4 linked regions of the Notamacropus eugenii genome follow. The protein of the gene in region 4 binds, or shares a complex with, the protein of the main gene of each other region. Links are inferred from orthologs where the notes say so. Each region holds a gene or a part of one and is shown on either strand. Other genes may lie near its edges.

Region 1 (7,321 bases), on a different chromosome or scaffold from region 4:
CATGCACTCTACATTCCAGGCAAACTGCTTGTCTGCTTTTCCCAGTATGTGATGTTCTTTCTCCCCATCTCCTATATGCCTATAATCCCCCTTACCTGGAATGTTCTCCCTCTGCACCTCTGTCTTTGAGAATTCTAGCTTCCTTTAAAGCTCACCTCAAGGACTTTTCCTTATAGTCTTCCTGATCCCCTACCATACTCCCTTACCCCTTTACTAGCACTACTAGGAAAGAACTTGGTATATGTAACCTCCCCTCCCCCAAAAAAGGTGCCCAGTGCCTTCTTGTCCTAACTAGCCAGGTCCTCAGCAAATGGTTCCTAAATCCTTACCTGGTTCTAGAGGTACCACTGAGGGGTTGGAGAACACCTTTCCTTAATGCTGTTGGTACCAAGCCTCATTCTGGTGTGTTCTTATCATGATTATGTGGTAGTTTTCAGAGAGGGTATTCAGTAAGGTAGTACCATAAGGAGAGTTGGTACAAAGCATCCTCTTCCCCCACCCCCACCTCAGTCTGACAAACTGGTGGGAGACACCAGGGGTGAATTGGCCCAAGTTTAGCACATGTGGCAAAGTGGTAAGTTATGGCTCTTGATTGTTGGAAGATCTTTTTCCCTTTCATGTGGTGCTCAACAAGTTCTTCCATAGCAAAGTGAATATTTGTCCAGTTTTTGCTTGACTTGAATGATGACAGGGAGATGGGAAGGTCCAAATCCTCTTGATTCTCCATATTTTTTAAGGAGGAAGGAGAGACTTAGGCCAAAGTAAGATTGGAAACCTTTTGTAACTTTCCCCGCCCCAAGCAGTTTCTTCTTAGGAAGTGTTACTGAAAGTCACACTTGCTCCAATCTCTGGAATAGTGCCAGTTCTCAACGCAATTGATAATTTGTCTGAGGATAGTGTAAGGACTATCTGAACACTTAGTATTCAAGGACAGATGGGTTCCTCCTTTGAAACTTATTCTTACCTCATTAAGGCATCAGGGCATACCTTATTATAAGGTGAGGAGGCTTGATTGAGTAAATCCATGAACCTCAAATTTACATATATTTTTTGTATTTTTTTTTTTTTTTGGTACATGCTATTTTCTCCCAATAGAATGTAAACTCCTTGAGGTCCAGGAGATAGTTTCATTCTTTTGTTTTGGTATCACCAGCAATTCGTGGCACAAAATAGGCTAGGTATTTGAGAAATATTTATGTAATGAATATTGAATGAACAAATTCTGCCTAATTCCTCCTCATGGACAAGTCCTGCCAGTTTAAGTGAATACACAGCTACACATATAAAAATGCATGTACCAGGGCCTAGGAAACAAACTCAGGAAGCATTTATTAAGTGCCTTTTATGAGCAGTGTGGCATAGTGGAGAAAGAGCCAGCCTCAAAATCAGGAAGACCTGGGTTCAGTCCTGACTTCTCTTAACTGACTCTGGACCAGAAATATCAAACTTGGAGTTTGCCAGTCACATATGACCCTGCAATGCAGGACTGACCCCATGCCAAATTAAACTGTACTTGGGAAATATCAAAATAAATAAAAATACAATAGAACATAAATTATATTAATATGTAGTTTTCTAAGTCAGTATGCACCCTGCAAAGATCCTTATATATGATTTCTATTTTGAGTTTCACACCACTCTAGGCAACTCTCCAAGACTATAAATTGCAAAGAAGGTACCAACCTGCATTGACTGAAGAATCCCCTCACCCTGGAACTCTCTACAAATAAAATCATTGGTCCAGGCTCTATCCTTAGAATGTACCAGGCTCTGAGCTAGACACTATAAATAAATTTTAAAAAATTATTTAACATAAATTTGGCTAGCTAAAGAAATGTATACTAATAAAAAGAACAAAATAATCTCACTTCACACACAGCGTATATTTTAAAAGAGAAAACTGCCTAAAGTCAATAAGACATCACCTGGAAGGGACCTTAGAACATCCAATCTAATCCCATTCTCTCTTTCCTCCTTTTACCTTCTATCTCTTTAAAAAAAAATCCCCAAGAACCTATAATAAATTCGATATACCCATATAATTCTTTGCTGACAGCAGACTCATTCTAGAATCCCAGTCTCTTAGACGTAAATTAGTCAACCCTTATCCTGAACAGAAATTCCCTCTACAGTGTATTCAACAAATGGTCATTCAGTCTTTGTCTGATGAACTCTAGTGATTAGTAGCTCTAATTGTTAAAAAAAATTATTTTTTTCCTTTTTGAATAAACTTAAGAAACCCATTTTCCATGATTGTTGCTTATTTTTTATTTATTTTATCTCTCCTCCCTACCTAGGCTTAACATTGAGGTTGCTGGTTATTTTAACAGGGTACAAAACAGTAAAACAAAGATACAAATATTTAAACTGTCAGCTGTCAAAAAGTTCATATTCCAATTCGTCTTTGAGGATCTCTACAGCTGCATACTTCTCAGTTTTAGGATGATAATCCCAATTTGCAACTATCTCTAGATCCAGATTAGTTAGAAAGGTAGAAAACAAATACTAAATGCCAAGTATGTGCCAGGCGACTAGCACTAAGCTCTTTATAAATAGTATCTCATTTGATCCTCATGACAACCTTTCAAAAAAGAGTTATTTTCATTTGATAGGTGTGGAAACTGAGGCCAATAGAGGTTAAGTGATTTGCCCAGGGTCAGACAGCTAATAAATGCCTGAGGTTGCATTTGAACTCAGGTCTTGACTCCAAGCCCAGCGCCACTGCGCTACCTAGTGGCCAATTAAAATATTTTTTATTTTTTAGAAGGATTAAATTTAGCTCTCTCAAGAAATGTTTTCTTTTGTCATTTCTTCATTCAACACAGTTAACAGCTTCTCCAGAACAGTTAAACTCTTAAGTCTCCTACAGAACAGTTAAACTCTAAATCTCCTAAGACACTGCTTATTCAACTGTCACTCACAAGATTCCATTGCCTTTTAATCCAGTAACATTATTGGGGTTTCTACTGAAGGAGTTATTGAAGCTAGTGTCTCATTTATACTTAGATAAAATATACCTGTGCTTCTCTCTCTGTATTTCTGTGTCTGTCTTTTTCTTTTCTCCCTGCCTCCCCCTTCCTATTGCTCCCATAGAGTAGAAAAGAGAGGAGTGGACTTGCAGTTAGGAAAACCCAGGATGGAACTGCACACCTCACTCACCAACTTTATCACACTGTGCAAGTCACTGAACTTTCAGCATCTTCAAAATGAGATGGTTGGACTCAATGACTTTTAAGGTCACTTTTAGCTCTAGATCTTTAAAGTCCTTTGAGTCCAAGAATATGTCTAATCCCTATTCTACATGACAAATCTTCAAATATTTAAAGACATATTTCCCCTAAATCCCCTAAAATTTTCTTTCTATAGGTTTCTTATTGAAACACCACCTCCAGTGCTCCAGCATCCGCACCAAATTCAGTGTGCTTTGAGGAGTGGAGAGTGAGGAGCCAAATCAAGATTCTAAGATGAATCACTTGAGCTATCCACTTGATTTTCACTTTATAAATCATCTCCTGAGCCAAACAAGGAGAGATCTTCATAGTTTCGAAAAGGCTCAAAAAAGCCCAAACCAAAAAGAGGAACAGACCTGAATTCAGTTGCAGGAATTCTTGGCCTTGGAGTCTCTGAATTTTGTATGTATGCTCACACACATATACATATACATATAATACACACACACACATATATAGTATGTGTTTATGCTCACATCCATATACATATATATACACACACATATATATGCACACTATTTTAATAAAACTGGTTTCCTTTGTAATTCTATGTGTTTTATGCATTTAAAAACATCATTCTGAGACACACACAAAAGGTTGAGTCACCAAGTTAAAGGTTAAATACAGAGAAAGAGAAGATTCTTCCATCCTTCCACGCTGATTCCTCCCTTCTCTCCCTCTCTCTTTTCCTTCTCAGTTTCCGGGCGTTCTCTCTCACCCTGTGGCCTTCGTTTTCTCCTGAGCCTGTCTTAGGACCACGTTGGCTCGTTAGACTCCAGGCTCAGTCCTCCAGGAGACCTAGCCTAGGACAAAGACCACACACGCCACTCTCACCTCGGGGCCTAGATCTCAGGATAGAGGGGCTTTCCCACCTTCCTCTCCCTTTTTCATAGCCCACCCCCGCCTCGACCCTCTTATCCCCTCCCCCTCCCCTTCAGAAATTCCTGGAGGCACTTGGCCCTTTAAGACCGAGGCGCCGGCCTAGGTTATTGTCTGCGCTCCCCACCAATTGAAAGCGTGAGTGGGGGTGGGGGATCCGGTATTCTGATTGGCCGGTCCTTAAGCACCCTCTCCCCACCTCCTGGGTCCCTGGAGCTGTCCGGCTATCTCGGTGCTGATCCCGCTGCTGCAGCTTTGGGTCCTCGGCCTGGAACCACCGCAGGAACTGGAGCCGGAGTGGAAGCAGCCACCATGAGCGGAGGTGTCTACGGAGGAGGTGAGATAGCCCCGAGACCCCGGCCTTCAAGCCAGGTCATTTCACACCGCACCCCTAGCCTGGGGGGTCCAGTTCCTGCAGCCCCAGTCCTCCATTCCTGGTAGCTCCTAGCTGGTTTATACCTGCAGGGCAAATGTCCCATGGCCAGCATTCGTCAAGCGTTCCTCACCTTCCTTAAGGCCCTCAGCGCTCCTGCTGCTCCCTTATTAGCAGCTCACTGACAGGCTGTTATACTCTTCTCTCAGGCAGTCCCTCACCCCAACCCAGAACCTCAGATCTTGTGGATGCTAGGAGCTCCCACCTCCCCACCTCTGCATATATAATTGCCCCCTCCATGTCCAGCATTCCACAAATCTCCCTAACGTGTCTATGTTCCTACTGTTCCCTCAGATCCCATAAATGATCCCATGGCCAAAATGCCCATCTGAGTTTTGGCTTGTGGAGAAGACTCCTCCCTCCCCTCTGACCTCATGTCCACCTGGTCTCCCTTAGGTGGAGTTTATGGGAGGGGGGAGAGTCTCCACACCCCGACTTCATCTCTCTCTGGGTCTTCTGAGGTGGGGTTTGAGGGAGGGAAAGCCCCTCTGCTCTGACTTGCAATCTCCTCCCCCTCCTCCTCTCTCCCCTTGGACACACACACAGATGAAGTTGGAGCCCTGGTTTTTGACATAGGTTCCTTCTCAGTTCGAGCAGGGTATGCTGGGGAGGACTGCCCCAAGGTGAGCCTTCCAGCTCCCCTTCCCAACTTTCCTAAAGTCTACATCGGTCCTACTTCTCTCCCTCTTGGTTCCCAGAACCCACCCCCTTCCTTCATACATAAACACCCTGAAGGAGTTAAAAGAAGGCTCCTGATAGTTTGGGAAAGTGTTAATATGGGTTCAGTAGAATAGTGATGTGAGCCCTGGGAAGGGGATGGGTTTGGCAAGAACAAAGGCATGTGGTAATTGGGATGGGGTTGTTTGGGGATATAAAGTAATGTGGAGAAAAGAAAAGGTGACTGTAATCTGCTCTCCCTTCCTCCCCCTAGGCTGACTTCCCCACTACTGTAGGGTTGCTGACGCTGGAGGAGGGGGGTGGGCTAGAGCTGGATGGAGAGAAGGAGAAGAAGGGGAAAACATTCCACATCGACACCAATGCCCTGCATGTGCCACGGGATGGGGCTGAGGTCATGTCACCCCTCAAGAATGGCATGAGTAAGGGAAACCCCAATATCCATTCCTGGGAACACTACTGCTGCAGCCCTTGCCCCTGTCCCATTCATTATGACCACAGTATGCCCCTCACCAACCCCCACCCCAGACACAGCCAGTTGTTCCAAAACTGATCAGGACCTCCCCTCACCAGGTCCCAGGGCTACCCAGTTTCTCTTATGTCCTCTCTGCCTCCCCTCCCTCAGCTTCAACCATACTCACTTCCTAGGTCCCTAGAGTAGGGAAAGGGGTCTGACTTTTCTACTCAGGTCTACCCCCACCCCATTTTTCTCTTCCCTCCTGTCCTCACCTCTCCTGCCTACACGTGTTTGTCTCTTTCTTTTTCTCACACACCCTGACATATACTCCTGTCTTTATTTCTTTCTTCATTTCATTTACTGTCTTCCCCTGAAACATCTGTCTGCCTGTCTCTCACTCTTTCTCTCTGTATTTCTTTCTATATCTTTCTTTTTCTCTATCCTTTTCTCCCTTCTCTCTGAAACTTCTTCTGTGTTCCTCTTCCTGATTTTCCTCTCTTCACTATCATCCTGTCTCCCTCTTCTCTCTGTTTCCCTTCCCCACATATCTGTCTCTTCCTCTCTCACCACCCTTCCTCTCCCATCCCTCTGTCTCCTCCTCCCCTCCTGGTGCCCAGTTGAGGACTGGGAGTGTTTCCGGGCCATTCTGGATCACACTTACAGCAAACATGTCAAATCGGAGCCAAATCTGCACCCTGTACTCATGTCTGAGGCCCCGGTACGTACTCCCAGCTCTGGGTCCCCTTGCCTCTGGAGTTTGTCCTCTATCTTAACCAGCCTACCCTAGAATCCTTCATCAATCACCTTATTTCTACATTTGACCCCAGCCTTGGGATCTCAATTAGCCACCCCATCTCTCTCCCCCTCAAAATCTTCATCAAAACTGAACCCTATCTCCCCTTTCCTCCAATTATCATTTCTCTCCCTACCCTCTCCACAAGTGTTCCTCATTTTCACATTTATACACCCCTCTCCCATATCTCTCTGAATGGGGATAGTATTCATTCACTGGGGGTAGGGAGGAGGTTTGATAGTAAAGATCATTTTGCATTGTGTTAGTTGGCCTGGTCCCTAGCCTCTCTGCACTCTAAGTGTGAGTGTTTATGAACATGTTCATTTGGGTACATGCGTATGTGTGCATATTAGTACATAAGCCTGTGTGTGTGTGCTTGTTAGCTTATTTATATCCAACCTAAACCCCTCCTTATCCTCTCTCCCCTCCCTCCCATAGTGGAACACTCGAGCCAAAAGAGAAAAACTCACAGAGCTAATGTTCGAACAATACAACATACCTGCCTTCTTCCTGTGCAAGACAGCAGTGCTCACCGCGTATCCCCTGGGCTGGCCACAAAAAGGGGAGTCATGGGGGCACACTGGGAGCACCAAGTGAGGAAGGTAGTTGGTTGCTGAAGCAAGCTGAGTCTGGGCCTGATTCGGTAGAGTGAGTGCCCTCCAAGATTAGGGAACTAAACCCCTTCCCACAATAGAGGACTAAGTATTGGCATTTTCTCCTAACCCCTCCTGACTCCACTTGGAGGAACAGCTAGCTGAAAGGGCCTGAACAGCTAAGATGCCCAAGAACAGCAGACTAGCAGGACTAAGAGAAGTAGAAGTTCCCTTCTCACACTAATTCATCCCTACCCCCAC
Region 2 (7,510 bases), on a different chromosome or scaffold from region 4:
GATGGGCTCAGCAGATAAGAGAATCTGGCTCTATGGGCGGCCCGGGGAGAAGCTGGGCTCAGGCCTGGGAGGGGAAGGGGGAGGGGGAGCAGGGGAGCAGGGGGAACCGGGCCCCAGCTACCTTCCCCTTGGCTTTGCTCTTTCGGCGAGGAATGTCGTCTTCCAGGTCCTCCACCTCAAGTTCATGGGGAAATTCTAACATCTGTTGCTTCTGGGCAGGAGGAAACACAAGTTTTCAGGGAAGGGATGCTTGCTGAGGCTTTAGGAGTGGGCAGCAGCATCAGGGATGGTGGAAGAGAGACCTCTAGCTGGGGCTGCCCCCGAGTTGGGTCTCCAAGGAGGGCAAGGGGCAAGAAAAGGACTCTGTTAGAGTGAGGGGGTGGGGAGGGAACCTTCCACACCAAAAAAAAACCCAACTCAGGGTGAGAATATAGGATAGAGAAGGCGCTGCAAGGCTGAAGGAACTAGGGGAAGGGGATTGATGTAGGAAGGCTGGGGAGGACAGAGAGGAGGGGACAAAGACTCAGAGGCACTCGAGTCTTAATTTCGAGAAGAGAGCCCCTGGGAGTGTGGAGACCTCTGAGACTGAAGGGTAGGCTAGGGATGCCAATTCCTTACAGATGTGGGGAGTCAAGGGAGTTTTTGGAGCAGGAGACAGACATGAGTGACACTCCCAAGTGTCATCTCAGGAGGATGGTCAGGGTGGCCTTCCTCATATGTGCTGGAGGGGAGAATGTGGCTATTCCAAAAGAAGTCTGGAGGAGGGATAGGGGCAGGGCTGGAGGGCAGGCCCCCCACCCCACCCCACCTGACAGTCCATGATGGTTTCTTCTTCCTTTAGTTCTATCTTCTTCTCTCCTGTCTCTGCACACAGTAGGGCCTCCAGGACTGGCCCTTCAGGGAGACCCCCTTCCTTCTTTAGGGGTGTTTCACAGTCTGAGGGAAGGGTGGAAAACAGGGAGGGTCAAAGAAATGTTGTTTGCCAAGGACCCCCTTCTGTCTCCTCTCTTTCTCTATCTTCTCCCTCTTCCTTTTCTCTCTCCTCTTTCTCCATCTCTTTCTCCCTCTCCCTTTCTCCCTCCTCCCTGTCTTTCTCTCACCCTCCTCTTTTCTTCCTCTGCCTCCCACCCTCTCACACACACATACACACATCTACCCAACCCCCAACCCACCCCATGGAGTCTCTCTAGACAGTATGACCTGAGTCCTGACCTAAAACACTGGGGCACTTTCTGAGATGCTCACAGCAGTGCATACTAAGTCTGGAACTAAGGCAGACATGCTCCCATGGGCCACCCCTTAGGGACATACTCTCAGAGACTCACTGAGGCCCTCAATTCTGAGTTCTCATACACTCAGTTGCCATCAGCCACACGGAGACACCATCACAAGCATGGCTTTGCACAGAGTACACATGTTTGCCGAATGCTTTCTCAGCATGTAGATTTCACCCTGCCAGACACCACACAGACACACAATCACACAGATACACATACAACCATGACACAAGCACCGAGACACACAATCATACACACAACCACACATAATCACACAGACACAATCACAGATACAATCACATACAACCACAGGCACAGACACAGCCATACACACATAACCACACAGATACACAATCACAAACTACCACAAGTCACACAATCACAACCACACACAGACACACAATCACAAATGCAACCACATTTGCACAACAGCTTCCATCTAGCTCTTGGAGATGTTTTACATACATTCTCTCATTGGAGCACCTCAAAATAACCTGTGGGGTACATGCTGTTTTACAACTGAGGAACTTGACTTGCCCAAGATCTCACCACAATTGTCTGAGGCAGGATCTGAATCCAGATCTTCCTGATTCCAACACTTTTAAGTCATTCTGATTCTTAGTCACAGTCAGGTGATAGGTTACCACACAGATAAAAGGGAACTCAGAGTACTTGAGTTCAAAACCTACCTCCCTCGGTGGCAAGGTCCCTAGGTCCCTGTCAGTCTCATTCTACGCTGTCTCTGACATCAATAACAATTTGCGCCCCGGGTGCCTCCCCCCCCCCAGACTCAATACCACCAACACAGGCCCCGGGGGCCGCACACGCTCAGACACAGGCTCAGGTGCTCACGCTGGGCCACGCTCACACTGGGGGCAGGGGCTGGGCTGGGGGCCCCCCACGGACCGATCTTGTACTCGCAGGGTCGCAGCCTGGGGTCCTCCAAGATGTTCAGTCTTCGCTTCTTCCTCCAGCAGCGGGCCGGATAGGTGTAGATCTGTCCAGGGGCCAGTCCTGGAGAGGAGAGGGGCAAAGGTGGGGAGACTGTTGAGGCATCTGCCCCCCTCCCCTTCCCCTTTCCTCCTCCCTCTCCCCATCCCTCCCAATCAGGCGCCGCCGCTTTCCTCACCGGGCCCGCGGTGGGTCTTCTCCATCCAGATGTAGCAGTTGTTTTGGGCCACCCCGGTCTGCGAGTCGAGGAAGGGCAAGCGCATGCTCCGCTCGGCGCACAGGCGCGCGTTGTAGCTGCGGCAGTGCTCGATGGCCTCGCGGTAGAAATCCTCGCCCAGGCTGCGGGGAGGCAAAGCAAGCAGGGTCAGCCGAGCAGACGCCTCTGGGTCTGAGCCTGGAGCCCTCGAACCTCTGGGAATGCCCCGGGACTTCGGGGGACGCCGGAACACCTGGGTCCGGCTCGAATGTTCGGGTGGACCCTGGGCCTCAGTTGGGTTGGGTTTAGGGAAGGCGCTGGGACACTGTGGCCCAGTCACTGGAGGGTCTGGGAGTCACTGAAACGTGGGAAGTACCGAAATCTCCGGGTCCAGAGTTTCTGGAGAAAGCTGGAACTTGGGGAGGGTGCTGGAACGTAGTGGGGGGAGGGGGGACTGAAAAGCAGGAGGTGCCAGAGAGTAGGCGCTGAAAAGCAGGGGCTTGGGCCTAGAACATCTGAATTGTGCTGGTGTGCGGGGAAGTGTCCTGGAACGTCGTGGTAGCCCTCAAACTTTGGGGAGTAGCTGGCATATTTGGATGGGAAAAAAAAGAGGAGGAGCTAAAGTCTGGGATGCCGCCGGGGCGGATGTTCAGTGGGCGGAGAGAGGGGTAGAGCCCTTCCCTCCCCTAACCAGGCTCAGACAGCTTGACCCTCTCTCCCCCGCGGCTGAGCGCTAGGTGGTGCCCACGCCCGCAGGCATCCCCGGCAGCGCGAATGTCCCGGGGTGGGGGTGGAGGGGGAGTGAGCGCCAGCACAGTCCCTCCCCCCACTTTAGTTCTTCTACAACGCCCCCCACAACACCATACACCCATATATTATACACCAGGTAGACTACCTCTACACTCCTTGGTGTACTACCCGGAGGACACAAAACCAGATACAGTTACCGCCCTCCCCCCACCCTAGCCTCACTTCCCCCCTCCCCCAGGTATGTCGAAATGGAAGGGATTTTGCAGATCAGCTAATCCGATCCCTTTGTCTACACAATCCCAAATACGGGTCAAGGGGGTCACCAAATTACACACTGACAGCAAAAGAAGACAATTCCTCTCCTTTGGAACGGAGACAGGTAGCGGAGGAATTCGCATCCCCATTAGACAGATGAGGACACTGAGGCTCCCCGAATGACAACCACACCAAAGGCCTTGTACACAGTAGGTGGTCGATAGGCGTTTGTGGAGTTGTTTTGGAATATAGATTAATACAATGCCACTTGAAGATTCACGGAAGACCAAACCACTGATAACACAATCCAAGACGAATGCACAAATCTCCGTTACACACACAGCAACACGAGACAAGCACACAATTACAGGAGACACAATCACAATTCCCCCCTACACACACACACACACACACACACACACACACAAAATCCCACTCCGAGACACACGCTCTGCAACCCCCGCCCTGTGGGATGGGATGGGGCGGAGGTGCCGGGCTCACCACCGGACTGGGCTGGGGTTGACCGTGGCCATCTTGCACCTGGCCCGACCCTCGCCCGGGTCACCTCAGAGCTTCGGGGTCTGCAGCGCCCTGGCCCTGGCGGCCACTCCATTCATTCTCAGGGTGGGGGTGGGGGCGGGGACATCAACCAACATGGGGGGGGAGAGGGACTCCCCGGGGCATGCTGGGAAATGTAGTGCGGGGGTGGCGGGGCGGAAGGTGGAGGAGGGGGTCGGTGCTGTCACTAGAGGCCAAATCTAGGTCTGGCCCCGGGAAGGAGAGGCCCTGGCAGCTCGTGGGGGAAGGGGACAGAGTGGTGTGAGGCCTGGGCCAGGTGAAAATCCGGAGACAGACTCCTATTTTGGCACTAACGTGGGCACTATGTGTAGTTAGACCGTGTGTGAACCACATATACCTTTACTTACACCCAGGTTCGGCTACCACACACAATCCACAAGTACACAACACGCAGTAAACACATAATACAGAAGCATACAACACAATTATGCTGATACAACTCTACACCACAAATTGACACCCAGATCACACTGACAACAGGCATACGCACTGGGATACAGAGACAACTGGACCCCACACACACGCACACCCGGAAAGGCCTCCTGATTCACATGCACAGACCCCCCCACACAATCACAGTCTCACACAGGAGCTTACAAGCAGCCGGGGCGCGCACAGACCCGCAGAGCGCGCACACAGGCCACACGTGCTGGCGCGTGCACGGTGGCCCCCCCCACCCCCCCCTTTGGTCGCCCGGCCCCTAGCTTCCAGATCTCGCAGAGACAGAGATAGAAAAGACAGGGATCAGAGACTTCCAGGAAACCCAGCAACCCCCAACCCTCCTGCTGCTTGCCCTCAGTCTCACGCGGCCTCGCTCTGACCCTCACACCCCTTCAACCCCAAGGTCAAGGCCAAGCTCACGGGGTGGGCCAGGAAGGGGGGCTGTCCCGGGGCCCCTTTGTGCGCCTCCGCGTCCCCGACAACTCACGGGCACGCGCCACTCCCCAGCCTCCTCCCCCTCTGTCGGGCACGCGCCTGTCACTCCTGGGGGAGGAGCCTGTGGAGCCAGGGAAAGGGGCGCCCCCGCCCCGTTATACTGGAGGGTCCACAGTGGGGGGGGACCCAGGCGGTTGCGGCTCCCAGTTCCCTTCCCCAGCCTTGGAGGCTGGCAGGTTAACAAGTCCCAGAACCAGTGCCTAGGGTTGGCGGGGATGGTGAACCCCCCCCTCCCAGCCTCCAGCAGATCCACTTCCCTTCCCGCCCCCAGCCCGGACCTGGGGATCTGCAAATTCCTGCACTGAGGGTGGCGACAATAGAGACGGCTTGGAAGGTGGAGGGGGGACAGGTTCAGCTGCCAAACGTGCCCATCCCCCGCCCCCTCCCAATAATCCCCAGCTCCTATCAAACCCAAGGCTTGGGGGATGCGGGGGGGAGGCGGAGGGCGCCCAGGTGTCAGTGGCACCCATCAATCTCCGGGAAGGGAAATGGGGCAGACACAAGGCTCCAGGGCTCCTGTCCCCTCTCTGCCCGCCGTGCCCAGCCCCGTGCCCGGTGGGAGGAGGGAGGGAGGGAGGGAGGATGGGATGGAAGGGGAGACTCACGACTTGAGGGGGTTCTGGATGGCGGTGGCCATGGCCCGCTCCCCTCCCCCGGCGCCGTAGCCACTCGGCCCTCGGGACCCGGCTCCGGCCCCCCGGGGCCCCGCGCTCCGCTGGCCGTGCCCGACCCCCGCCGCTGCTGCCGCTGCCACCGCCGCCGCCGCCGCCGCCGCCGCCGCCGCCGCCGCCTCCTCCTCCTGCTCCTGCTCCGCCGCCCAGCGCGCTACAATTTCATTCATTCTTCGGCTGCGGTGAGGGGAGGGGCGGGGCCGGGGGGCGGGGCCGCGACCAAGGAGGAGGGGGGAGGGGATCAGGGACTGAAGGGGGGCACGGGGGAGGGGGAAAGGGGTGGGCTGGGTCTGCCAATCCTCACACCTCCCGGGGGACGTTGGGAGATGGAGTCCTCTCAAACACCCGGGTGGGGAGGGGGCCAACCTGGGAGAACTCCAAATCCCGACTGCCCTGCGGGTTGCCCACTCCCCCAGGGCGCCGATTGGGCAGCCGAGGTACCGGGCGGGGAGTGCCGAAGGAGGCCGGAGCATCCTTTCCCTGGAGCTCTCCGTCAGGCACAACGTCCCCCTTCCGGCCAAGTCAGGCTACGTGGGGTAGAGGGAATGTATGGGAATCCTGTATCCCCAAGACCTATCCCCAGGAAACCCAGCTCTATAGGCATCCCCGCTCTGAGTTTATCACCCATACCTTATCCCCTAGTTCCTCCTTTCTGAAATTTCCTCCCAGCAGAGCAGCGGCCCGTGCCCGGGGCAGAGATTCAGCCCAGTGGAATGGAAGGGAGTGAAGAGCGCTGAGTTTGAAAGCAGAAGCCCTGGTTTGGAATTTCATCTCGGTTACTTACTCCCTGTGTGATCCTGGACACATTCTTTCTCTTCTCCCCCCCCCCCCCCCCATCAGTTCCCTCATCTGTAAAATGAAAGGGGTTTGAGTATCTAGATAATTCCTGATCTACTTGGAGATCATACCCCTCCTTCCCCCATACCTTGCTCCCTTAGGGAACACTCCAGAACCCAAAACTAAGTTGTGGGACTCACACTAAAGGGATGGAGAAGGTCCCCTAAGGTGAGAGTGGAAGCATGCCCCTGGGCCTGCCTCGAAACTGAACATCCTTAGCCTTTCTCAGACTTCAGGGCTTGTAACAGAATAGACCTCCGGCAGGGGGCGGTCCTGGGAGCTGTCCTCAGTACTGAATCGTCCGAAGCCTTGGAAGAATGACATAACCCTGAACATCTGAGCTGGTAAAGAGTACTTAAGGACCACCTATTCCAACACCTATTCCCCTGCCTAGTTCTCCAATTAAAGAGGGGGAATCGAAGTCCGGAGAGGGAAAACTTGATGCAGTAATAAGCCAAGACGAACTCCAAACTCCAAACCCTGGACTCTTTTCATTCCATCCCGAATCCTTTGCCAGGGAAAGTCTGGAGTCCCCAGGAGGGATTGAGGGAGGAAAAATGAGACAAATTCCCCCACACTGGCATTTGCACTGAGTTTAGTGGGACATCTGAGTCTATGGAGCCCAACTCTGTCAGTGGATTGATGAGGAAAGTGAACCCCACAGAGATCTTTGCCCAAAATCACAGGTTGAAGTAGGTCTCCTGAGACCTCAACCTTGGGCTCCTTGCTACATTAGATTTTCTAAGTGTGTTTCCATGTGCCTGTGTGTCTTTGTGTGTCCACCTCCTCAACCTATATGTGGATTTTTCATCTTAACCTTATATTCTCTCTAGATTCCCAAGGAGTTTAAGAAAGCCCCTTGGCCTGCTGCAGTGCCCAGAGGTCTCCCTCTCCAGAAGAATCCCAGAATTTTTTAGTTGTCAGGAAACTCAGAGTCCATCCTGATTCTGAGTTATCCCTAAACAAGCCACTCCTCTACATATCTAACCAGTGGTCATCGAGTTTTTGTTTGAAGACAGAGTTCAAGTCTTTACTCTTCAAGTCTTTAACTCTTTGTT
Region 3 (7,095 bases), on a different chromosome or scaffold from region 4:
ACACTACATATTTTTCCTGAAGAGTTCAAAGTGAGCATGATCTCATCCATCTTTAGCACATCCCTAGAAACAGGTAAGGGAAAGTTTCCATTTCCTAGTTATAAAAAAAAAAATGATAATTATCAATGAACCACGAACTACATGGTATCAGAGTTAGCCTGAGCAGGTAGGTTCTCACTAAGCACCAATGGATAGAGCTCCAGATCTGCAGTCAGGAAGATCTGGGCTCAAATGCGCCCTTACAGACTTACCTGGGTAAGTAGCTTCACTTCTGACTTTCTCAGGAGAATGAGATAACACATATAAAATGCTTTGTATACTTCAAAGCAGCATATAAATGCTAGCTATTGTTATCCCCATTATACAGAGAAGGAAATTGAGACATAGAATCCAAAGCCACCAAACTAGTTAGGAACTGGGGTACTCTTGTTCTAAGCGTGTCCCTCCACTACTAAGTTCGGTGCTCTTTCTTCTACCAGGAATGTTAATAAGAGTAAAATGAGATAGAGTTGTAAAGTGCTTTGCAAACTTTACTATGTAAATACAAAATATTTATATTAATACTAGATCTATATGATTTTTATATAAATTTTAATAAAATTTATATAAATACTAAATACATATTATTGTTATTATCATTTTTGCTCTAAAATGTATCAGGTAACTTAAAATCCCCACTAACGATGAGAGTAAGATGTTGAGAATCAGCTATCTTTAATGAAGATTGGTGCATTTGAGGGGAGACAACCAGCTGTGCTTCAAAATGCCCATTAAAATGGTAGTTGTAGTCAGTCTCCTACATGGATGGGAAATAAATCCATTCACATCATGCATTTATTTACCAGTGCTGCAGGGTCCCCATGAGGCAGTGTGTCATAGTCAAGTGAGGACTAGCCTCAGAATCAGAAAGACTTGAGTTCAAGTTCTGTCTCTGATACATCCTGTGTCATGATGGGCAAGTTACTTAAACTCTCAATGCCTCCTGGCAAATCTCTCTAAAGACTGTAAATTACAGATGAGCTGCTAATTTGCATTGGAGCAAGGGGTTTCCACATCAAGAGGTTTCCCCTATGAGTGAAACTGAGGTGCTGACACTGAGTACAAACCCTAGCAGGTCCTAGCAGGCTGAGAATGTTTTAGGTTGTCGTTCAACTCTTCGTGACTCCATTTGGCTTTTTCTCCGCAAAGATACTAGAATAGTTTGCCATTTCCCTCTCTAGCTCATTTCTCAGATGATAAAACTGAGGCAAATAGGGGTTAAGTGACTTACCCAGGGTCACACAACTAGTAAGTGTCTAGGGCCTAATTTGAACTCAGGTGTTTCTGATTCCAGGCCCTGCCATTCTATCCACTTCACCACCTAGTACTAACCCCACAACAAACTAAAAGGCCATGAACCCAAGACCCATCTAAATAAGTTTGGTGAGGTTCATCAGCAACAACCATCCTTTGGCCAAGAGGTTGACCAAAGATGATTTTTTTCAGTCACAGAAACTCTAAGGCATAGGCAGTTTAGGATTTTTGCAAGGTAAAAATCTAACAAATCTCTTAAAAATCATATATTTGCAGAAAAATAACTGTGATAAAATGCTTACAATATTTAAATATTTCTAACAAATCTATATGCAAAATATCTCCTCTGAGGTTTTTGATAAGAAAAAATAGAAGCCTAGTAAAATGTGGCAAATTTCAGATTCCTGAGTGTGTGGTTCCTTTCATTTCAAATGCCACTAATTCAGAGAAACTGTCGATTTTCCTTATTACAATTTACTTGACAAGTCACATTCCAAAGAGTAAAAGAACATTATTTACCCAGTGATCAGAGGTAAAATATGAAAATGACCTTGAGGACAAAATACATGGGGAGTGGGCAAAGAGGGAGCAGCCAGTAAAGAGAGAAAAGTAAAGATACAAATGTAGCTGCTTAACTATCCACCAGTTAAAACACTCTTTTAAGCAGGAGTGAGGGAGAGACCAGACGAAAATGAAACCACATAATAAATGAACCTTTGTTTTGCTTGTGTGTGAATATGAGAATGAAAAAAAATGGGGAAATATGAAAAGTTTAACAGTTCTAAAAAAGAAATATTTCAATAAAGTAGGAAAATACAGTTTAAATTTTTTTGTACTATTTTTAAAAGCAGCAACATGGCATAGTGAATAGTGGACTTATGATGGAGTCAGAAAAACCAGAATTCAAGTGCTGCCTGGCCATGGAAATGTGGACAAATCCCTAAATTTGTCAACTCCACCAGGCTTCTTTCAGACTAAAGTTACAGAGGAATTGACAATCTGTATCAGTTTTAAAAAAAAGCTTCTACAATAGGAGATCTCCAGATAGACAAAATCATAAATCCAAAACCTCGTCTCCCCAAGAAAGTATTTTAAAAAACTATTAAAAACTTAAATCTTCCTAGTGAACCTGAAGCAAAACCCTCAATTTAAGAAGACTCATTAACCCTTTCACATTTCTAAGGTACATGTTACCTGCTACCCTGCCCAGGATAGAGCCACCCAAAGAGTTAATTAATTAATGCATATGAGTTTTGGCTTCCTTCCCTCCAGAAGGTTATGCTCATTGAATATTCTCAGAATCACAAGGAAATATACATACATGTATGAAACTGTAATACTAGCTCCCAACCAAAGTATAATCAAATTAAAGCAAATACATATCACACACAGCTGGAGAGGAGCAGAGGGGAAAATGAGAGCTTATTAAAATGCTATAAAACAAAATGGCACATAATCTGATGTAATCAAAGTTAGTAACAAGGAAGAAAAGATTAACAAGAAAATAAGAACTTCAGTTTTCCACCAATGTTTAAGTCTGCACCGCACCCACTGAAATTGCTCCTCACCCAAAATGCAGGACCCTCGTAGTGCAAGTGAGAACTTTTACAGGAGCCATGGTATATGGAAGATGAAAACTCTCTGGCCTAGACTTCCTTGGCACTAAAATGCCTTGTCCCAATGAACTGCAAAGATTACCAGCTACACCACAACGACGATGAGAGATGAGGAGATTCTATCTCCAGTTGTCCAGGAACAGTAATCTAAGTTCTTTTGAAAGCTTGCCAAAAAGATGTTAACTATTTAAATACTAGATATTTTCCTTTAAAGTAAGTTAGATGAAACCGAGCATTGTGAAATTATAGGGAACAAGTTTGATCCAGAGTAGAAATGAAACAATGTACCTCCCTCCTTTCTTTGCAGAGGTGGGGGACTCTGGGTATGGAACGTTGCATTTACTGTTGATGCATTGGCTGGCTGTGCTGAATTGCTTTTTTCTTTTTTTTCTAATCTTTTTTACAAGGGATGACTCCCTGGGCGTGACAGGTGAAATCAGAAATAACTAAGGAAACAAAGGTTTGAGATTCTGAGAGTATTGATTTATTTAGCAACTCATTGTATTTGCCTAACAAATTGGGATCAGGCTTCTTCAGCTTGGCACTGAACCCCAAATACAGGGGGAAATAGATCATTATGCATTAAAAGAAAACAATTCATAGCATATAAACCAGGATATAAGATTAAGTAATCTGACTTCTAACTGGAGGAAAGATGACAGGATTTTCCAAGTTGTGAGGGGGGAAGAATGAGTTTTGGTCAGTTGGGAGAGGGTGAGCAGGTTTTGAGGTCTTTCCTTGGGAATTGGGAGATGCTGATTAATTGCATCTACCTTCATTTTATGAAACAATAGATGCCATCTATTTTCCCCTGAATGATTTGCAAAAGAACAAGATGGAGGATAATACATGTGGCAGCACAAGATGGGAGTCAGTGTTCATGAGAGAGAATCCGACTGGTTCTCTTAATCCTTACACCCAAACAACTCCATTTGTAACCAGCCTTCACTCTATTTGGTTAGGGTAGGGGCAAGGGAAGAAAGATATTCAGAAACAAAAGTGCTTTTAAAAAATATCAATAAAAATAAGAAAAAGGTAGGTCAGTTCACAACTGAAATTATGAGGCAGCAGAAAGAACACTGGCCTTGGGATCATGAGATCTGGGTTTGAATCTTACCTCAGAAACTAGGTGTGTGATTCTCAGCAAGTCATTTAACCTCTGAGCCTCCGTTTCTTTCTGTGTAAAATGGGGATGATCACATTTGCACTACCTACCCCAAAGTATTATTGAGAGGAATGAGCTTCATAAACCTTAAATTGTTATAGACATATAAGCTACCTATAGAAATATTAGCAATCTAATAGAAAGAGCACTAGATCGGAAGTTAGAAGACCTGGATTCTAGTCCTGTTTACTTATCTCAAAGGCAAGTGACTTATCTTTCAAGATCTATTTCCTCATCTCTCTGTGGTGTGAGTGAGATGGACTAGTTAATCTCAAAAGGTCTTTCCAAGCTTACACCGATAATCCTATGATTAGATGATTTCTGATAGTTTTGACAGTCCAGGACTCTATGTTTTTATTCAAAACAAAAAACTTTTGGGGGCAGGAATAGGGGTGGAGGAGGGGAAGGAATGAAGGAAGATTTCCAGTAAGTATTCCTCTGCAGTATTGATAATGTACTTCCAACAGAAAAATCCAAAAGCAGAGGAAGCAGAAAATGAATTTGCTTAAAGTGAAAAATAAAATTGTAAAGTACTTATAGATTATGAATTTGATCTTGACTAAACATAACCCCCTTATTTTACACTTGGGGAATCCAAGGCTTGCAGAGATGTAATGCCTTTTTTTAAAGGGTCATAGACTACTTAACTGCATAGCCAAGACCAAGTCAACAGCATCTATTAAGCACCTACTATGTGCCAAGAGGGCAGCTAGGTGGTGCGGTGGATAAACCACTGGACTTGGAATCAGAAGAGTCATCTTTCTGAGTACAAATCTGGTCTCAGACACTTACTAGGTGTGTGACCCTGGACAAGTCACTTAACCCTGCTTGTCTCAATTTCCTCCTCTGTAAAATGAGTTAGAGAAGGAAATGATGAACCACTCCAGTATCTCTGCCAAGAAAACCTCAGATGGGATCACAAAGAATTGGACATGGCTGAAATGACTCAGCAGCAACACAACAATATGCCAGGCACTGTGCTAAAAGCTGAGGATTCAAAGAAGGACAAAATGGTCCTTGCCCTCAAGGAAAGCGTAGTCTAATGGGGAAGATAACATGCAAACAATTCAAGTAACTATGTACAATAAAGATATTTCTAGGATAAATTGGAGATAATTTCATGGAGAAGGCCCTAGAATTAAGGGGAAATCAGGAAAGGCTTCTTACAGAAGATAGGACTTTATCTGAGACTTGAAGGAACCAAGAGGCTGAGATGAGGAGGGGGAGAATGCCAGGCATAGGAGACAGGAAGGAAAAATGCCCAGGCAGGACATGGGGCTTCTTGTGCAAGGAACAAGAGGCCAGTGTCACTGAAGAGTATTTCTAGGGGAGGAAGATATAAGAAGATTGGAAAGGGAGGAAAGGGCAGGGTTATGAAGGGCTTTGAAAGTCAAGCAAAGGATTTTATATTTGATGACAGAATTAACGGGGAGCCACTGGAGTTTATTAAACAGGGGAGTGACATGGTCAGCTCAGCACTTCAGGAAGATGTCTTTGATAGCTGAGTGGAGGATGGACTGGTTTGCAAGGCAATGTTGTTTCCAGCTCACTCTAGCACTACAAGTTATGTAATTCGGTATCTTACAATAAACAGAATGAAAAAGTCAAACAAATGTCATTTCTACTGAAAAGTTATTAGGCTTTAAATGTTGCTGTTCAGTCATGTCTGACTCTTCATGACCCCATTTGGGATTTTCTTGGCAAAGACATAGGAGTGGCTTGCCATTTCCTTGTCTAGCTCATTTAAAAATGAGGAAACTGAGGCAAACAGAATTAAATGACTGACCCAGGGTCACATAGTTAATAAGTGTCTAAGGTCCTATTTGAACTCAGGAAGATGAGTCTTCCTGACTCCAGGCCAGTGCTCTATTCTCTATTCCACTTAGTTGCCTAAGGGTTTTAAGTACTTTTTATTTTGATAACATATAATATTACTAGTAACAAATGTGACAAAGGGGGAAGAACTGTATTTTTCAATGTCATCTTTACATGAATAATACTCTAAGTAAATAAATAGTAGAGATTTTCTAGAAGCCACAAGCCTATGAAAAATTGGAGATGACTGCAACAATCTGACATCCAACACTCCAGTCTACTGATATCTCCAGGGAATTCTCTTGGTAAACAGGCCGAGCTGGAAGAGATTCTAAAATAAAAGTTTGAAGTCTCTTTCATAATATTAATGACAGCAGAAGTGCTTTAAGTCTCCTTGGTAAATCTGAGTAGTGTGTCTAAACAAGGCAATTAGCCAAAACCTTCACTAAGTTAGCCACTTTCCCTCAGAGAAAAAATATAAGCATCTCTTCCTCAGCTGTGGAAAACTTATTAAACCAAGAAAAATCTGTCCCCAACATGATATCTCCACAATAGTAAATATACTTCTCCACGAAAAAAACTGATATGACATCTGCATAGAAACATCAGGGACATTAGGAAGCCGTAAAATCACTCCTCACATAGCAAAGAGATGGAGTTCCACAGGTGAGGTCAGATATGGATCACTACCATCTATCAGCTTTCTGTCCATCTCTGTCCAAACAAAACAGTCTGAGTTACCTGGGAATGATATAAGATGTGAGTTGGAAGAAGCTGACACCCATGAAAATGAAATGTTCTCATCAAGGACCAACTTTAGGCTACTCAAGCTGTGATCAGAAAACAAGGAAGAGCCAGAAAAAATTGCTGAGTTCCCTTTATCTCTCAGGGAGAGACAGAATAAGAGAAAAGCAAGGCTGTCTGGGAAGAGTAGTTTTTCAATGACCCTGATCAGTCCAACCTTCCCTCCCTGGTTACACTGAAATTTAGGAGTCTAAAGGAAAACTCGTTGTTGCATTGGAAGTGAGGAAAAAAGATTTTACAGCTTTAAGAATGGGGTTCTCATTTAAAAAACACCGACAAAAGTTCTCCAAATGCCTAATGAGGATTGACTGTAATATAACAAAAATTCTAAAACAGCAAAGATGGCCCAGAATTTAAATCAATTGGATTGCTCCAAACCTAGACACAACAGCACCTGGAATG
Region 4 (7,876 bases):
GCAGTTTACATTCATATTACAAAACACTTTCAGAGTCATTATATCCTTTCATTCTCACAATGCCCCTGTGAGGTAAGGAGGAATATTTTGTAGATGAAAGATTTGGTGATTCTTTTAAGGTCACATAACAAAAGCTTATGAAAACTGGAGCTATAATCCAGGTCTCCTAACTCCTCGTATAGTACCCTTTTCACTTTTCATACTGCCTCTGTGGTTGTTTATACATAACTCATAAAAAAGTCTACCTTTGGGGCAGGGATTCCCAACCTTTTTTGTATCATGGACCCCTTTGGCAGTCTGGAACCCTTTCTCGGATTTTTTAAAAATTCATTAAATAAAGGGAAAGCTAAATGTGGTAGAAATTAGTGAAAATTAAAATGTAACTTTTTTCTCATCCAGGTTCATAGACCCCTTGAAATCTACCTACCAACTCCTTGAGGTCTCTGGATCTTAGCTTAAGAACTATTTTAGGGACATAACTAGCCCAGCAGAGCCAGGACTAGACATGCACAAAATTATGGCAGAATGCATCTGCCCATTCCAAGTACCCTGTGTCCAAAATCTGCCCTTAGGTCCTTCCTACTCCTCCTTTACAGGGTTCCAAGCTAGAAAATTTACCTTTTGCTAAGCTCCCATCAAAATTTACAAGAGAGCTCCATACTATGAGGGTCCAGCACTTTGTGGGCATAATCTCCTCAACCAATTTGAGCTACAGTATCAACGGCTGATAATAGCCTTTTGTTTTAACTTTTTTCTTAACTGACCTTCAGTGCCTTATTCCTGAAAAATTAGTAAGGTGGGAACTTCGGGAATTGTGGTAGACCAGGTAAGAGAAATATTTAGGGCAGGGGAGCTTTCTTTATCAATGGGCATATTACCTTACCTTAAGCAAAGATGTTTAAGCCTAAAAAGAGCCCAGCAGCTGAATAATCTGGCTGACACAGCCAAGGCAGTCATAACCCATTGATTGAGAGATCTTCCTGGACTACTCTGGCAGTAGCAGTCCAATATCAGGGTATCTTGTTGGCCATGTCCAGCGCTACCTGCCCAGCAGGAGAGTAGCCTTCCTGGCCCAGTCTAGCAATATCCCAGTGGCTGAGTAGTCTGTCTGGTCCATTCCAGTAACATCCAAGTCCAGTGAAGAGCCACTTCAGTAGCTGAGTGAACTGTTTGATCCAGCTTAGCAACATATTGACCCCTTTCCTATGAGGAGCAAGACCAATTGAGCTGTATATCTAACTGAGCTACCTTGCTTTTCGAAAAGCCAGTCCAGTTAACCCGCTAAGCAGGGAAGGAGCTTATCCATCACCAACTTAACACTCAGCAGTGACCTTCTTAAGAGCCCTTTATAGAAAGGAAATAGATCAAAACTTTACAAAGTTGTGAGTTGTCTTAGTCATGTGTTTCTTACATACATACCTCATTACCACTGCATTTTAAGTTTTCAGCCATTATTCTCTCCCCACCTTGTCATAGACTCTGTTTATATCTGTGGGAGAATAGGCCCCATGTTTCCCAGGGGAAATGTTTAGTAACTTCTGTTCTTGCTATACCGTTTGAGTAAATGCCTTTAATGAGAACTGAGTCTTATGGCTTATTAATGGGAAGCACTCTGGTGGGGGCTTGAGAGTTATGGTGTTACAGTTTAAGAATAGTCACCCAAAACACTACCCCTAGAACTATGACAAGAGTAGCAGCCACTCTTTGGGGATCTAAACTGCCAGTGCCTGTGTGGACTAGGGGAATGAACCTGGAAGGGGATATTATGTCATACATCCTCTTTAGAAAATATACCCAAAGCACTAAAAGTATTTCTCTGATGCTTTTAATATTTCCTGCATAGCAGTGCAGCAGTGCAGCAATGAAGCTGGTCATCTGTTATCCCTTGATTTTACTCTATAACCAGCCCTTTTCTGGTCACATATATCTTCAACTAAATTATTTTATATATCTCTCCTGTGCAAGACATAATTACTAATGTGCCAAGCTTCAGTTCACAATATTTAGATACTCAAAATGTGGCTGTGTTATTTATTCCTACCTCTTCTTTCTTTTGTGGCTTAACATAGCCTTGGAGAATTTCTGGCAAATGAAGATGTGGCATTTCTGGGCCTCAGTTTCCTTACCTGTGAAATGAGGAGTTGAACTAGCTCTAACTCTATGCTTTCATGCTCATTTGAAAGGAATGGGTTTTTTTTTAACATGGATATGGTAAAGAGATAAAATGCTCTTTACTTACCAGTTTAATAAGGACTATAGATACAGAAAGGTAGATTGCATCTCTATATAAGAAGTCATTTCCTAATTAGAGCTGTTTGAAAGTAGAATGGACTGCTGTGTGATGTAATGAACTCTGTTAATGAATGTGTTAAAGCAGGAGCAGAAGGACCTTCTGTTAGAAATGTTGTAGAGAGGAGTCACACCTTGAGTGGAAAGTTGAACTAAGTAAACTCTAAGGTCATTAGTATGCTGGTAGTATATCTAATCCAAGTCGATTGACAAACATTAATCATCTGCTATGCGCCAGGCACAGTGAGTACTGATCCAAGGAGAACAGGATAATTCCTGGCACAAAATAAGAGATTCTGTACGAGGAAGGAGGCAATTCGGATCAGATAACTTCTGACACGTATTCCAATTCTTAGATTCTATGATGCTATGTATTGAAAATATCTCATTCTAAGAATGTAATGAAAGGACCTTGAAGAAAACCCTTACAAATGCCTGGTTGGATAAGGTCACTGTGGCACACCTGGGAAATTCGTCCAATCTGTTAACCTGAGCAGGGTAGGCTAGATTAAGGGGAGCCCAGCCTGTGGATGTAAATGAGCTTAATTCCTAGACCAAGGAGATAGGCAACCTTTGGTAACAGGAACAGGAAACGGTAGGGTCACACCCCATTCCAGGGAAGGGAAGACTAGGTTGAGAACCTTAGAACCAGGCAGGTTTAGGTCAGGATGGAGAGTCATTTTCCTTCAGGCAACTGATGAAATGAAAATGATGAAGGAAAATTAAAAGGTAGTTTATCGGATGGACAAGAACTCAAGGCAAGAGTCAGCCAAGAGACTCTGGGAGTTCTCTAGTATGAATTGAACCAAGCCCTCTCAGAGTTCAAAAAAAACAATTTATTTCCTTGCATTTGTATTTTTTTTTAACAGTTTACAAATCACTTTCACATGCATTCTTCTCTGATCTTCATAACAACTTAGTAAGGTATTACAGTATCAGAGAATGTTTGAAGAGGACTTAGAATGTGCCTGCTCTTACTGTAAATTTTTATTCTTGTCCCCATTTTACAGATGAGGCAACTGTAGCTTCAAGAGATTCAGTGATTTACCCAAGATCCTATGGCCAAGAGCCAAGGACTCCAACTCGTCATTTGCTGTTTCTATTTGTATAGGGAGAGAAGTAGGGCAAAGATTTAGAAACAATTTTGTAACTAAGGAACAGATAAAGCTGTTTCATTCTAATTGCAGTAGATTCCCCTCCTCCCCCTTTGTTTCTTTTAATAAGCGCCTTTAAAAATCATCACTGTTTATGGGTGGTCTGTGTGTGGTCTCCCAAGGACACTGGAAAATGGAAAAGTCTGTAGGCATCGCACATTTAGGAGAGAAGAAAATGAGACAGCCCAGCTTCAGAAAAGGAGAAGGGTACCCTTCTCAGGACAAAAAGGGCAGTAGTTGTAAAAATTCTCACTGTGCTCCTGCTGAAGGTAGGAGGCCATGCAATTCTGGGTCAGAGAACCAGAAACAACTTTGCAATTAGAAGGAAGGGAGAGAAGATGGAGCTGATAGCAGCTGTTGGTGCAATTTACAGTTGTGCCACATGCCTGTCTGCATGGGGTCCTCACCAGCACTGGCTACCCAGTTTACTCTTTAACTCCCCTAGGAGATGGGTACCTAGCACAAGAATTATTTCCCCCATTTTGTAGAGGAGGAAACAAGCTTGGAGAGGTGATTGACTTGCATGGAATCAAGTGCTTTGAAAATCTCTACGCTCTCGATTCATAGAAAATTAGAATTGGAAAGTTACCTCCAGAGATCATCTGGACAACCTCTTGTCTGTAGAAATGTAAGAGTAGCCATTCCATAGAGCATGATAGGTGGCCAGGGCTCAGGCTTATGTGCTCCTTAGGACAGCTACTGTCACATAGGCAAGGAAACCGAGGCACAGAAAAGAGAAATGAATTACTTAATACAGTTTCCTGCCGGCAGCTCCATCATTGTGGGATGCCGCCTTCACCTCCTACTCATAAGGTCAGCCCCATTCCCAGCTGTCTGGGGCCCTGTCTTCTTCGTAGATGGGTTCCTGAAATAATATAATCCACTAAATAATTTCAGGATGCCCAGGTCAGCTCACTGACCCCACAGAGACCTGGCTTCTTTTGGTTGATAAGTCAACACAGACACCAGGCCCAGGAGGTGGACGGGGGTGATTAGACCCTTGCTAGAATCCCAACCCTAAAGTCCTGCCCCAAAGGTGGACTTTCCTTCCTCCAGACGTATTTCTAAATGACGAACTGCGGGTGACTTGGGGGCTGTAAATCCGCCAGTGTGCATGCCCGTGTCAGAGTGGGTCTATGTCTAGGTGGGTGTTGGTCTGGGGGCTGACCCCTGTGTGACTGTCTGCAAATGGACATGTGTGGATCAGTGCGAGCGTGCATCAAAATGGACTTGGGCAGGGGCTCCTGAAGATCGCGCGGTGCCCCATGCATTGGGAGGAACGAGATGGGGGGGCTCCCCTCCGCAGCTCACCGCTCCCTGCTCCGATCCCTAACTCGCCGCACGCTCCACGCTCTTTTCAGACGCTCCCTGCGCCTCCCCCGCTCCGGGGTTGCAGCGGCGCAGGCGCCCGGGCTGGCCGAGCCCGAGCCCAAGCACCAAGCCGGGGAGAGGGGCCGGGGCCAGAGCGCGGGGCTGGGAGTCCCGGGGCCAGAACCGGAGCAGCTCCGGGAGCAGGTGAGCCACCTGGGCGGCCCGGGCCCTGCAGCCCCCCTGCTTGGCAGCCCCCACTCCCAACTGGCGTCTCCCCTGCCTCCCCTCTCTGCCTGTCACCCTCCCTCCCCTCCCCCCGGCATTTCCCCCCGCCTTTCCCGACCTGGCATCTCCTCATCTCCCCCTTCCCTCCCGGACTGGCATCGCCTTCCCTTCTGGCATCACCCCCTCCCCTTCCTGCCTGCATCTACCCCTCCCCTCCCGGACTGGCATCTCCCTCCTGGCACAGCCCCTCCCCTCCTTGCCTGGCATCTTCTCATCTCCCTCTCTCCTCCCAGACTGGTATCTCCCTCCTGGCACATACGCACCCCTGGCATCTCCTCCTTCATTCTTCCACCCCTGTATCATTCTCCCCCAATTTGCATCCCCTTAGCCCCTCTTCATGGCATCCTTCTTGTCCTGAACGGGGCATCCTCTTCCTTTCTGACACACTCCACCCCCACTTGACATCTCTCTCCCCCCATTCTCCTCCTCCCCCTCAGTCTTGAAAAGGCTCCTTTCCCTATTGAAAATACCTCTCTTTTTCCTTTTACAGCTTGGGCACACTCCCAACATTCTCTTTCTCTGGTATACCTTATCTTTGACCCCTTAAGCCCTTTCCTATTTGCCCATTCTGTTCACTCCCCACCTAATATATCCCCCTCAACACCCTAGCTTCTTAACATCACCTAGCCTGTTCTTTCTGTCTGTCTGTCTGTCGGTCTCCCTGTCTCTCTCTGTCTCTCTCTGTCTCTCTCTCTGTCTCTGTCTGTCTGTCTCTCTCTCACACACATACACACAGACACAGACACACACACGAGCATACACATATATCCTACCCATCCACAGGTATTCTTCCCCTGATAACACCCCTCTGCTTGCCTTCCCTACCTGTCATGACTACTCCATGATCTAGAATGTCCATATAGACACACCTCTGGCACTGACTCCTATGCCTGACCCCCTCTATAGAGCATCCTCTCCTCTTACACTCAGCCATGAAGATTAGCCTAGGACCCCAGAAGCAAGCCTGTTAGACTATTGAGAATTTCACTTAAAAAATAGATAGATTCTTAGAATTTAGAAGCTAGAAAGTATCTTAGAAACCATTTAGTTCAACCCCTTCATGTTAGAGATAAGAGACTGAAGCCAGAATTACTTCTCTAACGTCACAAAGGTCTTAACAGTTAAAATCGTACCGCAGGTCCTCTTTTCACTACCCCATATTGTTTATTTTCCACCAGGGCAAGGCTAACTCCTTAAGACTGCGGCTTTTTTTGTCACCAGATGTGAATGTAAACCTGAGATGCAAAGTAGGGGAGGGAGGGTAAGGGCAAGAAGTAGCATTTAATCTGTCCAGGTGTGACTGGGAAGATTGTGGAGATCTGTCTCCAAAGAGCCAAGCTGGAAGCTATGACCAACTTTCACTGTGGTTATGTGGACAGTGAGCTTAACAGGGGACTTTCAAGACTGAGAAATTAGCGTCTTATAAACCTGGCTTCTTTCAGTAGGACTGTCCCCGGTACTGCCCTTCTCCTCTGCTCCATCACCACTAAGCTACCTGTACAGATTGAGGCTTAGATTTACAGATTCCCCCCTGACCTGGCCCCATCAATTTCCCCTGCACTGGTTCTGCCCCGCCCCCTCTTTGCACTGCTTCTTTCTCCATCCTTCCTGCACTGGCCCTGCCTCTGCCTCTTGCTCCCTCCCCCCCCTCCCCACCCCGCTCTATGTCTAAGTCCCTCCTGCACAGCAGCCTCTGTTCCCATCCTCCCTGCATTGGCTCCTTCCCTCCCTTCCACTTCCTTTGCTTCTGTTCTCCCTTTACTGGCTCTTCCCCCCTCCCCTCCTCCCCCTCTACACTGCCTCTGCCTTTGTCCACCTCTTGGACTGCCTCTGTCCCTAGTTCTGCACCTCCCCCCCAACCCTGTACTCCCTTTGGCCCTGCCTGTCTTCACCCTGTCCCTCACTGGCTCTGCCCCGGGCTTTCCTGCACTGGCCTGGCCTCTCTGTCTGACCCTGTCCTTTCTGTGCTGTCCCCTTTACCTTGATTGATTTACCTGACTCCATCCTCCCTGCACAGGCCCCGATTCTGCATCTCTCCCCCCTCCCCCCGTACCCTGTACTTAGGATGCCTCTTACCCCATTCCCCTTCATGTCCCTCCTGCAGACCTTGTCTGTCTCTCCCTGCCTCTGTACTTGCTCTGTCTCCTTGCTCTCTCCTCATTCGTCACCTTCCCCCACTGCCCCTGACTCTTCCTCTGCCTCAGTGTCTCCTGTTCTGGCTCTGCCTCCATCCCCCATGAATTGTCTCAGCTTCTGCCTCCGTCCCCCTTACAATGGCTCCATCTCCCTTTCAGTGCTTCTACCTCTGTCCTCTCCTTTCATGACCCTTCTCTTACCCGCTGTGGGGGCACAGCCTCCAAAATTCCGGTAGTATCTACCTCTTGGGGCTTTGGTGATGCTCTGCATGGATGTAGATTTGTATGAGATTAGTTATTATTAACATGATCATTGTTGTCATTATCATTCCAGTACTGCCTATCTTCAACAACGGAACCTTACATGCCTCTTAAGCATGTGAATGCCCCAGTGCCCAATTCAGCCCCTGTGTTTGTCCTGCCAAGACTTAAGCTAATATCAGTTTTGGAACCTTGTGCTTCTTGGATATTATTCCAACTTGTGACCTTTTATTGTGATGCCTACTCCCCCTCGGGCACCTCTGGCCTGCCTGCTGCCTTAGACTGACACCAGGAGTCATTACCCCTGTCTGCCAGCCCCATTCCCTGCTTCCTTTTCTTGCCGTCCTTTCTTCTCTCTGTGACCTGCTTCCTTCCCTCTCTCATATCCTACTTTTTACTCTTCTTCCCCCTGTCCATCTCCATTCATTGACCTTAGCTATG

What was found.
Region 1: SMARCD3 (region 4) and ACTL6B share a complex: the UniProt entries of both Homo sapiens proteins name them as parts of the BAF complex. The link is inferred for Notamacropus eugenii from reciprocal best matches to the Homo sapiens genes SMARCD3 and ACTL6B.
Region 2: SMARCD3 (region 4) and DPF1 share a complex: the UniProt entries of both Homo sapiens proteins name them as parts of the neuron-specific chromatin remodeling complex. The link is inferred for Notamacropus eugenii from reciprocal best matches to the Homo sapiens genes SMARCD3 and DPF1.
Region 3: SMARCD3 (region 4) and DPF3 share a complex: the UniProt entries of both Homo sapiens proteins name them as parts of the BAF complex. The link is inferred for Notamacropus eugenii from reciprocal best matches to the Homo sapiens genes SMARCD3 and DPF3.

Annotation. Positions count from the first base shown.
Region 1 is NC_092873.1:80,136,135-80,143,455, forward strand, and holds the start of ACTL6B (actin-like protein 6B), read left to right. Parts: upstream 1-4,312; 5' UTR 4,313-4,421; coding exon 4,422-4,446; intron 4,447-5,088; coding exon 5,089-5,165; intron 5,166-5,473; coding exon 5,474-5,639; intron 5,640-6,291; coding exon 6,292-6,392; intron 6,393-6,905; coding exon 6,906-7,003; intron 7,004-7,321. UniProt on the Homo sapiens protein: Involved in transcriptional activation and repression of select genes by chromatin remodeling (alteration of DNA-nucleosome topology).
Region 2 is NC_092876.1:31,450,758-31,458,267, forward strand, and holds the start of DPF1 (zinc finger protein neuro-d4), read right to left. Parts: upstream 3,013-7,510; 5' UTR 2,801-3,012; intron 2,762-2,800; exon of another isoform or gene 2,568-2,761; 5' UTR 2,492-2,567; coding exon 2,407-2,491; intron 2,292-2,406; coding exon 2,130-2,291; intron 937-2,129; coding exon 809-936; intron 212-808; coding exon 122-211; intron 1-121. UniProt on the Homo sapiens protein: May have an important role in developing neurons by participating in regulation of cell survival, possibly as a neurospecific transcription factor. Belongs to the neuron-specific chromatin remodeling complex (nBAF complex).
Region 3 is NC_092872.1:293,878,670-293,885,764, reverse strand, and holds the start of DPF3 (zinc finger protein DPF3), read right to left. Parts: upstream 3,014-7,095; 5' UTR 2,912-3,013; coding exon 2,862-2,911; intron 1-2,861. UniProt on the Homo sapiens protein: Belongs to the neuron-specific chromatin remodeling complex (nBAF complex).
Region 4 is NC_092874.1:94,746,214-94,754,089, forward strand, and holds the start of SMARCD3 (SWI/SNF-related matrix-associated actin-dependent regulator of chromatin subfamily D member 3), read left to right. Parts: upstream 1-4,859; 5' UTR 4,860-4,958; intron 4,959-7,876. UniProt on the Homo sapiens protein: Involved in transcriptional activation and repression of select genes by chromatin remodeling (alteration of DNA-nucleosome topology).